2 linked regions of the Diceros bicornis minor genome follow. The protein of the gene in region 2 purifies or fractionates together with the protein of the main gene of each other region. This does not show direct contact. Links are inferred from orthologs where the notes say so. Each region holds a gene or a part of one and is shown on either strand. Other genes may lie near its edges.

The links.
Region 1: the proteins of TAP1 (region 2) and TAPBP purify together in Homo sapiens (co-immunoprecipitation; 6 studies listed by BioGRID and IntAct, with this or other methods). This does not show direct contact. The link is inferred for Diceros bicornis minor from reciprocal best matches to the Homo sapiens genes TAP1 and TAPBP.

Annotation. Positions count from the first base shown.
Region 1 is NC_080753.1:31,148,174-31,156,003, reverse strand, and holds the start of TAPBP (tapasin), read right to left. Parts: upstream 3,100-7,830; 5' UTR 2,915-3,099; coding exon 2,878-2,914; intron 2,739-2,877; coding exon 2,568-2,738; intron 2,348-2,567; coding exon 2,087-2,347; intron 1-2,086. Other genes in the region: ZBTB22 (zinc finger and BTB domain-containing protein 22), read right to left, coding at 3,886-5,802; DAXX (death domain-associated protein 6), read right to left, coding at 7,443-7,502, 7,703-7,830. UniProt on the Homo sapiens protein: Involved in the association of MHC class I with transporter associated with antigen processing (TAP) and in the assembly of MHC class I with peptide (peptide loading).
Region 2 is NC_080753.1:31,464,597-31,472,731, forward strand, and holds the start of TAP1 (antigen peptide transporter 1), read left to right. Parts: upstream 1-4,878; 5' UTR 4,879-5,048; coding exon 5,049-5,646; intron 5,647-6,138; coding exon 6,139-6,253; intron 6,254-6,411; coding exon 6,412-6,542; intron 6,543-7,328; coding exon 7,329-7,534; intron 7,535-7,932; coding exon 7,933-8,130; intron 8,131-8,135. Other genes in the region: PSMB9 (proteasome subunit beta type-9), read right to left, coding at 430-571, 817-946, 1,593-1,724, 2,450-2,517, 4,372-4,431. UniProt on the Homo sapiens protein: ABC transporter associated with antigen processing. In complex with TAP2 mediates unidirectional translocation of peptide antigens from cytosol to endoplasmic reticulum (ER) for loading onto MHC class I (MHCI) molecules.

The sequences.
Region 1 (7,830 bases), about 320 kb from region 2:
TTTTAATAGTCCTTATTTAATAGAGATGCCTACTGAAGTACTTATGAGTAAAAGAATATGATGCCTGGGATATACTTTAAAACACTTCGAAAAGAGAAAAGAAGGTGGGGGGAGAGTAGGTAAAACAATTTGGTAAAATGTAATAACTATACCATGGGTGATGGGTACATGGGAGTTCATTATATGATTCTCTCTACTTTTGTGTATCTGAAATTTCCCATAACAATGTTTTAAAAGAATGATGAGAATTAAATACCATACACACAAAGTATGTTAACAAAGTAAATTTGTTAACAAACATTTGAAAGTATTTGATAAGAAATAATGTATAAATGTATATTAGCAAGATTACCAATGATCTGACCCTGGAAAGATTCCATTTTTAATTTTACATTAAAACAACAACTTTCATTTTCTTCAGTCCCTAATCAAGCAGAAATGCTTGAAAAGGAAGACTGAGCACAGCAGTGAGTTTTTACCCCCAGTGGTCTGTGAGATGTAGATAATTTCCCCCCCTGGGCACTCCCATGGTTTCCTATCTGCACTTCTTTCAAGGCCCAAGTCACTTTCTAATCTACATAACAATTACCTCTGACAAATCTGCCTAGAACCTTCTAGAGAGCAGAATCTACATCTGATCACCTTTGTGACCCTTAAAAGTGCCCGGGGCCACCAAGAGATTCTCATTTAATTCCCTTGGAGTGGGACCCAGGTTTCAGTATATTTTAGAAACTTCAAGAAGATTCTTATTTGCAGCCTGGACTGAGAACTACTGGGCCCTAATTTATTCTGGGTGCTAATAAATATTTATTGAATCAGTGAATAAATTAACAAAGTGTCTCCCATGATAGTCACAACAAGGGTAAGGCAGATTGGAAATAGCATCTACATTTTACATTTGGAAAAACAGACTCAGAGAGAAAAGGACATTTTCACCCCCCACCTCGGTGAAGCCAGCAGCCCTGGAAAATACTCCTCCTCACTGGAGAGAGCTACTGTCCCCACGAGCAGCAGTTTGCCTCTGCCCCTGCCCAGGGTGGGGTCTGGGAACTAAGAATGGAGGTGTAGGCAGAGGTGAAGATTGCGGGGTGGGTGCTGAATCCGTTTCCCTGGTCCTGTGGGTGATTGTCTGACAGTGAGGAGAGTGGCTGGGAGGAGGTACTGGGGAAGGGAGGGTGCAGGGCTCGGCTGGGATTGACCTGCCAGTCCGGCTGTGGACTTTCTTGGCCAGGCGGCCCCCGCCCGCATAAAATCGCACAAGACTGAGGGAAGCCGAGGACTCTACCTACTCACATCCTACCCACACTTCGCTGCGAAAAGGGAGAGCTGCCAGATATCCCAATCAGATCTTCCCCATTCTTGCTTTTTCTGCCCACTCCTTCTCCGCGCCCCAGCCCAGCAAAGTGCCCGACCGCTGGGCCTCAGACCGCGTTGCACGATGCAATCAGCGATCCTTGCAGTGAGGACTATCAGGTCCCTTGCAGTGAGGACTATCAGGTCTCCTGCCATGTCCCTTCCGCCCACCCGAGCCCACCGCTTGGTGACCACAGAATCAGCGCATCCCCACGCGCCATAGGGAAGGGGCTGTCAGGGAAGTGAACGCGCTCGAGCGCAAGAGCCTTTCCTTGCTGACTGCTGCAGCGATGGATGTGGACCCGGTGGGGCTCGAAGACTGGTTTTTGAAACAGGGTGAACCACAAAGGTGTGGGTGCCTACAGATCTGGGAGGAGAGGAGAAAAAAGTTCCTGCTTCTGAGCCCCTCCCAACCGCGCCGCCTAAAAAGTTTCTTAAGGTCCGGTGTCCGGAAACCCCGCCTCGCTCCAAAGCTCCGCCCTTCCGACCACGAAGCCCCGTCCCCAAGCTGCAGGGTTTTGGTTTTCTTTGATTTGGGGGGATTTTTTACTGGGCGGGGCTAGAAGAAGCGGTAGAGATAGATTGTTTAATTCCTGCCGAACCGCCTCGCTTTATAAGTAAGGAAACTGAGACTCGATGTGGGAAATGACTGGCTCAAGTCCACATAGCGAGTCACCAGCTGATCTGGACCCTTAGAATTTACCCATTCGCTCCATTTCCCCTCCCCAGCTACCTGTTGCCGTGGTGATGAGAGCGGGCTCGGGCTGAGGCTCGGACTGTGGTCGCAGGAGGCCGGAGAGGCTGAGGACCTGGCTGGACACGCTGACCATGAGCCAAGTCCCGTCCAGAGCCCGCGGGCAGTTGTGCTCCGGGGTCAAGCCGCTGGCCCAATTCGCCGAGGCGGGGAGCAGCACATAGCGGCTCATCTCGCAGTGTGGCGCGGGGGCGTCCGGGGGGTACCGCCTGAAGGCGGCCTGGAGAGCGCCCGCCGGGTCTGTGAGAGAAGAGAGTTGAGCTCTAGAGTCACCGCCAGGCGCGGTGAGGGCAGCGTCCAGGGAATTTCAAATGCACAGACTACTTGGTAGTGAGAAATTTGGAGGTAACCAGACTCATTTTACAGAGGGGGAAACTGAAGCCCGAGGGCACTGTGCGACCTAAAGAGGAGGGTTTTCGGTGCAGGCGACAGAGGTGGGAGCGAGTCCGGGATGACTCACCATGCACTTTGAGGTAGAGCTGCGGGTCGAGGTCCGGCCGGGGAGGTGGTCCCCCCGGGCCCTGGCGCAGCAGCAGTGCAGCGGGTTTCTTGGCCAGGCGGCCCCCGCCCGCATCCTCCACGAACCAGCACTCTATCACCGCAGGTCCGGCCGAGACGGCGGTCGCCAAGCCTGGGGCAGAGCGGCGCGAGTGAGGGGGCGGCCCAGACGTCAGATGACCCGACCCCCACCCCCCGGCGGCAGGCGCGTGGCAGGGTCACCTCCCTCCGCTTCCCCCTCGTTCCTGGGCAGACTCCGGGGGTTCGCTCACCCAAAACCACAGCGAGGAGAAAGGACAAGGGCTTCATGGCGCCGCGATCTCCTCAGCCCGGAAGCCTGCTCTTCCCCTTTCACTTTCTCTTTACTCTCAAGGCCATCAGGAGGGGCGGAGGCAACCCCCGCTCCGGTTAGGTGAGGGCACGTGGGCGGCAGGTGTTTCCCCCACTGGCGGGGCAGGGATCCCGGAACATTCTCTTCAGTTCAGGTCTGGGACCTCAGCCCCGCCCCGCCCTCCTGACCGCACCAGCACTGCCCAGTCCCAGAGCCCTCCCCAACCATAGGCCCCGCCCCCGATCATTTCCCCCCAGAATCCACTTTGCGAAGAACCACTACTCCGCCTTCCCCGACCTCTGCCAGTTTCCCAGCAAACACATAGGGGTTGTCGGGAAGCCAAGTGAAATGACCAATAAATATTTTAATGATGGTTTAAAAAAAATAAGATTTAAAATAAAAAGCTTGTACTCCTACGACCTCCTCCTTGTCTCCACTCCCTCCCCGATGAAAATCGAGTTGGGGGACCCCAAGGTGGGGGAAGGGTTGGGATTAGGGTAGAAATAAGGGGCACATCCTTCGGGGGACGGGGTGGGTCCTAGGACAAGGGTGGGGCTCAAAGGCGTGGTCCCCACGACAACACAAACACAGACTTAGGTACAGACTATAACCACCTGACCCCTGACCCTGTGACTCCACGATGCTCAACAGGCCCCCTCTCCCGCCTCCTCCCCAACCATATGAGCCCTACTCTGGAGCTGGGGCTTCAGCGTACCCATCTGAAGCGAAGAGAGGGCTTAGTTCCGGGGATACTTTGGGGGGGGAGGGGCTGACACGTGGAATGGGTGGCCGATGGTGCAACATGGTTCCCCCTGAAGAATATATACAAGTCCATAGAGATAAGGAAGACAGTAAGTGTGGTGGGACATCGCCTGGGGGCCACAGTAACCCCTGGCTCGTGATCTCTATTCCCTCTTCCCCGAAAGCTACTCCCAAGCAGCCTGTCCCTTCAGTTTGCTCCTCCGCCCCCACTGAAGCCCATCTCCACCTTGTGGACGCTGAGTGGGGACCAGACCCGTCGGCTAGACGGGGGCGTGGCCCCACTAGCCTCGTCGCCGCTGCCCCCGCCCACCCCGGGGGACTCTCTCTTGGGCGGTAAGGCTGGCCCCGTGGGCGCGCCGGGTCCCGGCCCGGCCCCGCCCCCGCCCCCGCCCCCGCCCAGGCGGTGCCTGCGCTCACAGTGTCCCCGGTGGCGCATGAAGCTATCGCGCCACATGAACTTCTTGGCGCAGACGCCGCACTCGTAGGGCTTGAGGCCTGTGTGCGTCTTCATGTGCTCGGTCAGGTGGTGCTTCATCTTGAACTTTTTGTTGCACACGGGGCAGTCAAAGGGCCGCAGGTTGAGATGCATGTTCACATGCCGATCGCGCATGCTCTTGTGGGAGAAGGCCTTCCCGCAGTGGCACAGAAAGATCTTATTCCCATCCCCGCCGCCTGTCCCTCCAGGGGTCCCTCCAGCGCCGCCTGGCACCCCCAGGGCCCCTGCCGATGTGCCCCCCAGGGTCACTGCCCCGTGTTCAGCTTGGTTCCCTGGTGGCTGGCCTGAAGCCTGTGAGGAGGAGGAGGAGGACGATGGGAAGACTAGGATCTGGTTGCCCTGCACATCCAGGGGAAGCAGGGGCCTCGGAGGGTGGGACGGGGCATAGGAGGAAGGGGTTGGCCCCCCTGAATCATCAAGCCCTGCCCCAGGACCCCCACCCTCATAGGGGCCAAAGTCATTGGAGGACTCACAGAAATTGACCTGCTCCTCTCCCTTGTCCGGAGGTTCAGTCAGGGTCCGGACATCACTTATGCTAAGGGTAGTCTCAGGTCTTCCCCCTGCTGGAACTCCAGAGCCACCCCCCAGCTCTTCATCTTCATCATCCTCACACGTCAACACCAGGTCTTCCTCCTCCTCCTCCTCTTCCAGATCTGGGTCTTGGGGAACCAGGGGCGCTGATGCTGGGCAGTTTCCACCTCGCTTCACATATACCCAGTGTTTCTGCGGCACGATGCTGGGGGGTGCATAGGTGGGTCGCCGGAGCCCAGCCCCAGGGACCACTGCACCCCTCCCATCCCCACCGTCATCACAAAGCTCATCTGCCTCCAGCAGCAGCTTCCCAGAAGTAGCCCCCCCACTGCCAACCACAGGGGCTGGGAATACAGGGCCGCCTCCTCGACGCTCCCCGCTGCCCACTGCAGGAGCTGCAAATGCCTCTTGGGAGGGAGATGAGAAATCAGTGGACTCCCGGGGGCTGAAATAGTTGCTGCTGCTGGGGGACTGATTCTCACTGGCCCGACTGGAGGCATGGGAGCGCATGGAGCCCATGGCGGCAGGGGCCACGGTGCCCCCACTCCCTGACGGGACCCCAGCACCAGGGACAGTGACTGAGGAGGCTGCAGCAGTGGTGGTGGCGGCGGTGGTGGCCGAGGCCCGGCCTTCTCGGAGGAGTTCAGTGCACTTATCCACGATGTGCCACATCTGGAGCACAGATCCCACTGTGAGGAAGTTGACAATGTCAGCAGCAGCCATGCTGAGGCGGCCAGTGTAAGCCGAAGCCAAGACAGTCTCGAAAGCGCCTGGGTCCATGACGCTGGGCAGTGAGATGGAGGTCATGCCCTTGAGTAGGACCTGGTCATGGAAGTAAGGGGAGGAGGCAGCCAGGACAGCACGATGAGCCCTGAACTCTCGTCCCTGCACCCGGATGGAGACATCACAGAGCTGGCCCTGCAGCCGCTGCTGATTGAGGGACTCCAGCAGGGCACTGGTCACCTCAGGGAAGGATACGTGCACCACCGCAGCTGCAGGCAGGGGCAGTGGGGGCGCGGCCAGCGACAGAGGCAGGGGGAGTGCTGCACCGCTGGGAGACAGAGGAGATGGCTCCATGGTGTGGAGGGAGGGGGTACCCCCCCCAGCCACAGGAACAAGGGAAAGAGGAGGGCGGCCGGGGGGGTCTCTGGGAAGAAAAAGAGAGAAGAATGATAGTATCTCATAATGTCATAGCCCTTTACAGTTTACAGACATGTTTCACCGGCTATCTGAGTAACTCCCCACAACCACACTGTGAGGTAGGTATTCCTCGAAACCCCATTTGACAGATGAGGAAACTGAGGGTCAAAAGGATTAAGAGATTATCCAAGGTCACACAGCCAGTAAACGGCAGCACCAACACAGGTGTATTGACTCCAAATCCAGTGCTCTTTCCTTGGAGGTTAGAGAAATAAGGTGCTCTTGGGGAGGGGGATACCTCCCCTTCAAATTTCCCATTTGCCTGAGCCGGACTTTCTAAAATTTACCTTTTTGGTGTTTGGTACTCTTTTCTTAGGAGAGGGAAAAGTCTGTTCCTGTACTGAAAACTATCCCTCTCTCCGTCTCCATTTAGGCTATACCACCCCCGGCTCTTTCGCAGGCCACGCCCCTTTACCCCCACCTACCTCCAGCCCCGCCCCTTCAAGACCCGCCTCTTGGCCCCTTCGGCTCCGCCCCTTGTCTACCCCCGCCCACACCGGACCCCGCCCCCCCTCTGCTCCGCCCCAAGCGCTACTTTGACCTCCTCTCCCACCCGGAAGGCGCCCCCCAACTCCGCGCGTCCCCGCTTACCGAGCCGCGCGCCCCCGGGCCCCCCCTCCCCTCACTTGGCGGCCAGAGCCGCAGCCTGGGCCCCTCCCGCCGCCATCTTGCGCCGACTCCCTCCGCCCTCCGCCTCCGCTCCGCCTCCCGCCCCTCCGGCTTTAAAGGCACAGGCGGGCACCCCGCCCGTGCCGCTGGGCAATACTCGGCCGACTCGGCCACTTCTCCTTTAAAGTACAGTCGCCGCGTTCCACCTTAAAGTTACCAGGTCCCTTCCGCCGCTGAGGACTCAGGATTTGGTTTCGCCGAAGCACTCATTCCCCTTTAATTCTGTAAGCCTGCCTCTTCCCATTGGCGATGGGTCATGGCCACCGCTGCCTAGGCTCCGCCCCTGAGCTGTGTCCATTAGCGGGTTTGCGGGATCTAATCGCCCTGGTCTCCCAGCTTCTGACAGTCCCCCTGAAATCCCGCCCCCTTCCTCCGGGCCTGGATTGGCCAAATAACCTTGAGTCTGCCCCTGATTGGCTTTTTTACTCCTACCGCTCCAAGTGAGAAAGTAAAGCGAGTCCAGGAGGCTGAAGCACAATTTTTTTAATGCCTGGGAGAGGGCAAGGGGAAGTCCCGAGAGCGAGGATACTCGGAGAGAGGGGCATGCTAAGGGCAGGCTAGAAGGACAGGTCCAGGGCTACCAGAAGGCGGGCTAACCTGGAGCCAGAGAGCAGTGGTGCCAATCAGTGAGAGCCAAAGAACAAGGGACAGACAGAGATACAATAGGAAAAGAACTTTATTGTTTATTAATGTTTCTGTGTAAAACTTAAGCTTTTTAAAATTTTATTTTAAAAGAAACCACCAAAAGGGGATTAGCTCAGTTCACCCCTTCCTCGGTCATCTGCTTCCCACCATCCTCCAAATACTCTCCTCAAAACATTCTGGAGGCAGGGAGCAGGGGGAGGCAGCTAATCCGAGTCCGAGAGCACGATGATCTCCTCTGGATCGCACTGTGTGGCCACACTCATCTGCAGGGGAGTGAGAGACAGAGTCAGAGAGGTCTGGAATAGAGGAGGAGGAGAAGCAGAGGGAAGGACTCTGGAGATTAAAAATTGGGGTGGGAAAAAAAAGAGAACGAGTGTGGTGGGTGCAATATTCAGACAGAGTGCCTGAAACTGAACAGACAACAAAAGAGAATGAAGTCAGGAAAAGTAGCCTCCCCTCTTACCTTGTAAGTACCTGGCCGGGTGGGTTGTGACTGGGGGGTTTGAGACAACCGGGCTGGAGATGGGCTACAGAGGGAGCTGGTCACCAGGCCATGGCTAGGAGAGTCCACCCTCGTGGAGGAATCAGCAA
Region 2 (8,135 bases):
GTGGTGTGCTGGTAAACCAACTTAAAAAAATAAAAGCCTTCATATGTAGCATCTCCCGATGTCTATGGTCTCAATACTCCCACCATGATCAATTTCAAGTTATAAATAGCTTAACAAGCAGGTCACAAACCCTTGATTATTTAACAATTGGCTCTCATGAGCTGGCCCAAGCCAGCTCCAGCACACTGCCGGTTCTTATGGTAACCATGTACCTTAATTTGGTGTACTCAGAACAGTCCTGGTTTATGCCTTTTGTTCTGAAGTCCCATTTAGGTAAGCATTTATTCTGCCCCCTTTCACTCTCAAAAGTGTTGTCCTTTGGACATTAAATTAAATGGTCACCCATGTATTCCTCTTCCTGTTCTTCATATTCTCCTTCCTTCCCATGTTTAAAAACCCTCCCAGGTACCCTTCCACTTGGTTAGTTACCATCCGTGGTGAAGCGCCTGCACTCCTCAGGGGACATGCCTGGTTTATATGCTGCGTCCACATAACCGTAGATATAGGTGCTGCCAGAGCCACCAATGGCAAAGGGCTGTCGAGTCAGCATTCCTCCCAGGGTTCCGTATACCTGAGGGAGGCATCCTCAGGTCAGACTATAGAAGCATCAGTCTTCTCCTTCCTACTGAGACAAGCAGGTGGTCTCTGCACTCTGCAATGAAGCCCCAATATCTCATACCCCCATTGGTTGAGACCGTACTACGCTTTCAGAGGCAATGTCTTTGGAACTCATTGCTAGAATGACATATGACCTCCATGTCCCTCTACAGGAGAGTGGGGAACCTCAAGGGAGGGAGTGCATTGGGGAAGACTCGCCTGGCCCCCTTCACGTTGGTCCCAGCCAGCTACCATGAGATGTGCAGACAGATCCTCCCGATATTTGTAGGTGATATTCCTCACCACGTTGGCAGCAGCCAGAACAAGCGGAGGTTCTTCCAGTTCCATCCTGCAGGAAATGTTAGGAATAGGGGTCAATATAATTTCCTGAGGTTCCATCCTCCTGTGCCATTTCCATCATTCCTGCCAAGTGACACTTGAAACCTATAGCTGCAATGGTTCAAACTCTGGCTCCCCTCCCACATGTACAGGGGAGCCAGAGTCTCACGCCACCAACCAGTAACAAGATTTCAATTGTTCCCCTCCTTTACTCTGTCCCACCCATTCACCCCCCAATGGCATAACTCTCTCTTGGCTGCAAGGGCCCTGCCCACGTGGGTAATAGCAGATAAGCTTTACTTCCACCCCAAGACCTTGGTTTTTCATACAGTAACCGTCTGATATTTTGGTGGGCAACATCATCCTTTTCTTCCTCATTATTTACATTAGGATAGTGATTTAAAGTTTTCAAACTGCCTTCGCATATGTCATTTGCTTCTCAAAACAACCATCTGGCGAGGTAGGGTAGGTACTATTATCTCCACTTTACGGATGCAGAAACCAGCTTAGAGAGATTCAAGTGCCAGTTGAAAGCTAACAAAAGCAAGAGCTCAAACAAGACAGTGCTCCTGCAACAGGACACGGTACGGGGGTTCACTGCCTGCGGGAGCTCTAGCAGGTGTGGAGTGAGGACCCGAGAGCTTCGAGCTTCATACCCATGGAGCTCCAGCTGGTAGGCGGCCATGTCGGCCACAGCCTGGGCGTCAGCAGCTGAACCAGAGAGGGCACAGTAGATACGTTGGTGCAGGGGGGACAGCTTGTCAAACACTCGGTTCACCACTGCCTCTCTGTCGGAAAGGAGTCAACAGTCATCAACGTTAGAGTTGCAGAAATTTTTGAGGTTAATCGTCCGGTGTTTCTCAAACTTATTTGACAAGAGGACAGCCACATAGTGCATGAAATTCAATGCTTGGATTAAAGCAGGGAGCATAAAAATCGTCTCAAATAAATGAAACACTGCAAGTAATAATCAGAATTAGACTTACTTTCAGGCTTAGATTTTATAATAAAAAATACTAAGTTAAGAATAATGCTCCTTTTATCAATTTTTCTTTGCTATTAACCATCTTGAGGAAGTTATGTGTTTCATGGAACATAAAGTAAGTAATATTGATCTAATCTCATATGGTCATTTTGCATGTGAGGCAATTGGCCAGGAGGGAGAAAGACTCAAAATTAGTTCAACGTGTGAAAGATGAGAAACCAGAATATCTGCTTGGCAGAATCATCTTTTCTATCTAAAGAGGGCCCCTCAAATCTCCATCTCCTATCCCCTTCTTAGACTCTATTCCTTCCAGGGACAGGCCACATAAGCATTCAGGCCCCACATGCTCCTCCATGAAATCAGAGACCTGAGCACCCACCCAATATCTTATTATACTGGCCTTTCTGAAAGGTTAACTCCATTTCTCCAAAGATCCAGTTCACTAGTCTCTTCATGAATAGGTAAGAAAAACACATATTTAGGGCCACTAGCTTCCTTCCCAAAGCAGATACGTTCACTGATACTTACCCCGCAGACACCCGGGAATCAGAACCCACCACAACGCCCCCATCAAACTCTACTGCCATGATGGTTGTCTGCAGAGACACAGAAGATGGAATGTCAGAGCAGGCAGAGCCTTGATCCCCTCATGTTACAGATGAGGAAACATTCCTAAAGAGGAGAGGTAACTGGCTCAAGGGCATTCAATAATTCAGGCCAGAGCTGATTCCCACTTTACAGGATTTTTTCTTCCATCTTCCCATTTTCTCTATTGCCTCTCTCAGCTGCAAGGGAATGTCATAGCCTGGCCGTGGTACGACACAGAAAGAACCACATCCCTAAGTTCCAACCTTCCTACGTGGAATCCTTTCCACTGTAGGGAGAGAGTTGGGGATGAAGCTCCTAGGGGCATAAGCGCTCCCTTTGAGGGAAGGGCTCAGGGGGTACTTCCAAGCTTCAGTGAGGCAGCCCCACAAGTGAATTACCTCTACCACATGTGCTTGTTGTATGTGCAAATGCAGTACAGACCTGACACAGAGCAAGTTACTGTGACCTTGGGAAACAGCTCAGGTCTTTTTTTGGCCCTAAATCCCCCCCCGCCCCCCACTTAATCAGAAGCAAGCTTTTTCAGTTTACTGAACAATGGAGAAAAACATGGAGGGGTAAGTGGTTAGCATGGCCACATGTCAAGGAAGGAGGGAAGCAGCAGGGAGCACATGTGATGGTTTACAATAAAAGTTTCACTTAAGGATTTCTGATCAAGAGGTAAATAGATATCCCAGCAGCCAAGGGAAGAGGGAGTTGATTGGAGAGTCTGAGCTGACTTTTTCAGGTCAAGAAAAGAATTAAGCAAGAGTGAAGGAGGATAAAGCTACACTTTCTCTACTCCTGTTGAGTTGGAAAGAGCCTTAAAGATACTTGGCTCAAATGAGGAAACCGAGTCATAGAGAAGGCAAGTGATTCATCCAAGGTCACACAGAATTAATAGCAGACTGGGACAAAACCCAAGTCTAACTGCCATCCCTTGTTTGGACTTCTACTTCCTACTTGCCACTGTTCATCTGGCAGTGAGGGGAGATTTTCTAACATATTAGTGGTTTTACCGCTATCTTGCTCACCACTTGTCAGTTAGTCTGGCGCCTGGGGATACTGCCCTGACGATGCTTTCTGACATGCTGATTTCCCATGAGTAGAGGGCCAGAGAGCAGGGACAACCCCGTCCTAGAGGTCATTCCTCTATAACAAAGCTGCCCCAAGCCAAGAGTGGCAGCAGTAGTCTGGGAGCAGAAGGTAGCCAGCTTTAGGCTGCCACATCTCCAGGCACCCAGTCTGGACAAAGTCCCCAGCAGGCATGTGGGAGTGGGTAGGGAAGACACAGGGAAGGGAGCATGGCAGCACCTGGGCCATGCAGGCGCATTCCTGGGCCAAGCCAGAGAAGGGCACCATCAGCTCACATGGAACACCCATGATCAGTGCTGGGCTATGAGTTACTCAGGGACCAGTTTATCAAAAGTCTGTGTGATGAGGTGTCCCTTTGCGATCAGCGCCCATACTTCCCTCCCCCAGGTGTTGTCCTACTTCACCCAGGGCACCATTTTCTTATCTCTTTGCACCTTCTCCAACCCCCCTCCCAGTTCAGAGCAGCCCCTCTCTCCAGTTCAGAGTGAAAGCGAAAGCGCTTTAGAACAGCTTCCCCTTGACGTTTCCAGCTAAGAGCCAAAGCACCCCCTTCTCCACTACCCTCGAGTGCCCAGTCCCTTCGCGGACCCCTAGATGATCCCCTTCAGAATACAGATGCCCTATATCATTGTGGGGTGCAAGCACTGGCTGCTACAAGCTATCATCTCCTCACTCTCCTTAGTCTCCGCATTCACTCCTCGGCGCTTCCACCGTCCCCCATCGCTCTACTTCCTCCACCCCTCTGCTAACCCTCAAGCCCAGCTCATTACCCCAGTGTGGACTTCTCCGGCCCGGGGTAAGTCCCCGGTTGGTCCTCCCGCCCGCAGCATCCCGGCGCCGCGCTCCTCGCTGCCTGGGGCACTGGTTTCCGACCTGGGACAGCGCGCTGCGCGCAGCCTACAGCCCCGCCCCTTCACCACGCCCGCCAGGGGGCGCCTGGGTCCTCTCCCGAGGCCGCGCTTCCGAGCGCTAACCTTTGTGCGGCCGATCTGCCCGGAGACAGGTGACGCAAGAGTCCCGCCCTGAGGCTGGGGTGAGAAAGTCCCGACAAGCGGATCCTGCCAGAGGAAGCAAGGAAAGGAGGAGGGACGGCTGTGCGTGATGGACAAAGATGGAGCACCGGGGCTGCTCCCCAGAACCTCAGATCTGATTTCCTTAAGCCCTTTCCCCAAATCATCTGGGCCGGCCGTGTTCGGAAGGGGGCGGATCTAGCGAGCCGGGGACCGCTTTCGTTTTCTCTTTCCACTAAACCTGCTAGCGCGGACGGGCTCAGCCGGTTCCTGGGACTTTCCGAGAGCTCCGCCCCGGCCCGCCCTTCCTCCCTCCCCCAGCCGCCGGTCCCGGCGCCCGCTCGGGCACCGACTCGAACCGCACCCGGAGACTCCGGCCCAGCGGGGACGGCGGAGTCCCAGGCCCGGGCGCGACGCCCGACAGCGCCCGCGTGCCAATGGCCGGCTCACGGTCCCCCGCTCCCTGCGGGTGCCTCTGCCTCTCCCGAGCTTCCCTCGCGTGGCTGGGCACAACGCTGCTGCTTCTCGCCGACTGGGTCCTGCTCCGGCCGGCGCTGCCCAGAATATTCTCCCTGCTGGTGCCCAACGCGCTGCCGCTGCTCCGGGTCTGGGCGGTGGGCCTGAGCCGTTGGGCTGTGCTGTGGCTGGGGGCCCGCACGGTCCTCAGGGCCACCGTTGGCTCCAAGAGCGAAAGCGCAGGAGTCCAAGGATGGCTGGCTGCTTTGGAGCCGCTGGCGGCGGCGCTGGGCTTGGCCCTGCCAGGACTTGCCTTGTTCCGAGAGCTCGCCTCCTGGAGAGTCCCCAGGGACGCCGGCAGCACCAGGCTACTGCACTGGGGAAGTCGCTTCGACGCCTTCGTCCTCAGCTACGCAGCAGCACTGCCCGCAGCCGCCCTGTGGCACAATCTCAGGAGACTTTGGGTGCCAGGAGATCACGGGGGTTCTGGAGACGCGGTGCGTCGGCTTCTGGGCTGCCTGGGCTCAGAGATACGCCGCCTCCCGCCGGTTCTCGTCCTGTTGGTCTTCTCCTGTCTTGGTAAGGGGGGCGCACGGGGACAGAGAGGACGCTAGGGGACTCGGCAGGAATCAACAGCAATGGTCAGTGAGAGAGATTAGTATGCATTCTGGGAAATGTGGATCGGGCGAAGGCGACCGAGCTCGTGTCTTGAGAAGACCACTCCAGTGTAGACGAAAGAGCCCCGGACTGGGTGGGAGTCAGGAGTCGTGGACTCCAGTGCTGCCGCAGGCGTGGCTTCACTGGCCACCTTGGGCAAGTCCTTTCCTCTGGGGCACACACCCTATGATCTCCTAATTAAACTCCTAAAGGTCTGGCGGGGCCACAGCGTCGTGAGTTCCAGGGCGGCCTGTTCAGGTGCAGGGTTGTGTCCTCAGTGTGCTCTTTCTGCCACTGACCTCCGGGATAATGGTGAAGGGTGAAAGAGGGGTGGGTTGAGGCCAGTCTGGCTGGAGCTGACCTGCTCAGACTTGATATTAGTGACTGACCTCTCTCTCTCCTCTCCTTCCCCAGGGGAGATGGCCATTCCATTCTTCACTGGCCGCCTCACCGGCCGGATTCTACAAGATGGGTCAGCCGCTGCCTTCACTCAAAACATAGCTCTCATGTCCATTCTCACCATAGCCAGGTCTGGGCACTAAAGATGGAAGGCTGAGAAGGGGGGACTCTGAAAAAAAGGGAGTTGGAAGTTCGGGCTGCTGTCCAAAGTGCACTTCTCAGGGATACCTGGGACCTTCTGTCTGTCCCCTGAACACACCCTGACCCTCCTTCTCTGTCTCTCTCTAGTGCAGTGCTGGAGTTCCTGGGTGATGGGATCTACAACAGCACCATGGGCCGCGTGCACAGCCACTTGCACGGAGAGGTGTTTCGGGCTGTCCTGCGCCAGGAAACAGAGTTTTTCCAACAGACCCAAACAGGTTTCTCGTGAATCTCTTTCATTACACATCCATATATGTACTCTTAATATCCCCATACATCTTCTTTACTTATAACCTTGATCCCTCTCTCTCACATATGAACATTGTCATTGCTTATTCTTGTTATACCTCAAGGGCAAAATATGACACTCTTTACCTTCAAAAAGCCCTAGTTTTTCCATCCAAGATTTTTCCATAAATGTATCCCTATATGTGTATTTAGATAGAAACTACAGAATTTCAAGCCTGGAAATTTTGAGATCACAGAGTCCAACTGCCTCATTTTACAGAGAGGGAAACTGAGGCCTAGACCCTCAATGCTGAAACTTGCATGGTCACATATGGATAAGAGACGAACCTGGGGATGGAACCCGTCTCTTGATTCTCAGTTCAGTGCTCAGTACAGTTTCCTGCACTGCTTTATATTAGCACCCTCTGTTTTTCTCCAGCTCTGTTATATCACCAGCTTAAACTCTTCCTGTCTATGTGTACAGCATGGGATATACAGGTTTTTTAAGGAACAGAAATCTGTCAGAGAAACGGAAATTCACATGGGCATCAGTTTCTTTACAATTAAATTGAAGGTCTTTGGCCACGCTTTTCCTCTCTAACACTCCTTCTCCCTGCACTGAGATCGCCAAACCTCCCTATAGCCCTAACCTTGTTTTCCCCAGCCTCTTTAGAACACCACGTCGACACCCCTCCCCCTGGCAGCCAGGCTCATTGCTAGTCCCTCCCATCACTCTGCCTCTCACTCACTCCGCTCTCTTGTCCTGAACCCGGCAGGTGCCATCACATCTCGGGTAACAGAGGACACGTCCACCCTGAGTGAGTCTCTGAGTGACCAGCTGAGCCTATTGCTGTGGTACCTGGTGCGAGGGCTGTGTCTCTTGGGGCTCATGCTCTGGGGGTCACCGTCTCTCACCATGGTCACCCTGGTCGCCCTGCCTCTGCTTTTCCTTCTGCCTAAGAAGCTGGGAAAATGGCAGCAGGTATGTCCAGGGAGTCGCCTCAACTTACACAGACTCTCATCTCCCAGACTTGGAGGACTCAGATCCTCTTATATTTCTTTCCTGGCACCCTCACTGATTCTCCACCTTTGTAGGATTGCTCAATGTTGATCTTCATATTCTCTGTCTTCTCTTCTGGCCACAATCTATCTTTAAGAATATGATCACCAGTCTCAAGAATATGATCCCCTATGGCCCTTCTGAGTCATTTTCCTCTCGTCTGTATTGCTTTAGTATCCAGGGGGGATAACTGTGTTTCTTTCTCTTTTCTCCTGTCCCTCTGCCTCTTTCCACCTTTAGTCTCCATTCAGGTAACTCAGGTACTAGTGTCCCTTTGGTTTGTCAACCCTTTGTGACATCTCTTGTCCATGTCTCCACAGACGCTGGCAGCACAGGTGCAGAAGTCTCTGGCAGAGTCCAGCCAGGTGGCCATTGAGGTTCTGTCGGCTATGCCTACAGTCCGGAGCTTTGCCAACGAAGAGGGTGAGGCCCAGAAGTTTAGGCAAAAGCTGCAGGAAATGAAGACACTGAACCAGAAGGAGGCCTTGGCCTATGCAGTCAACCTCTGGACCACCAGTGTGAG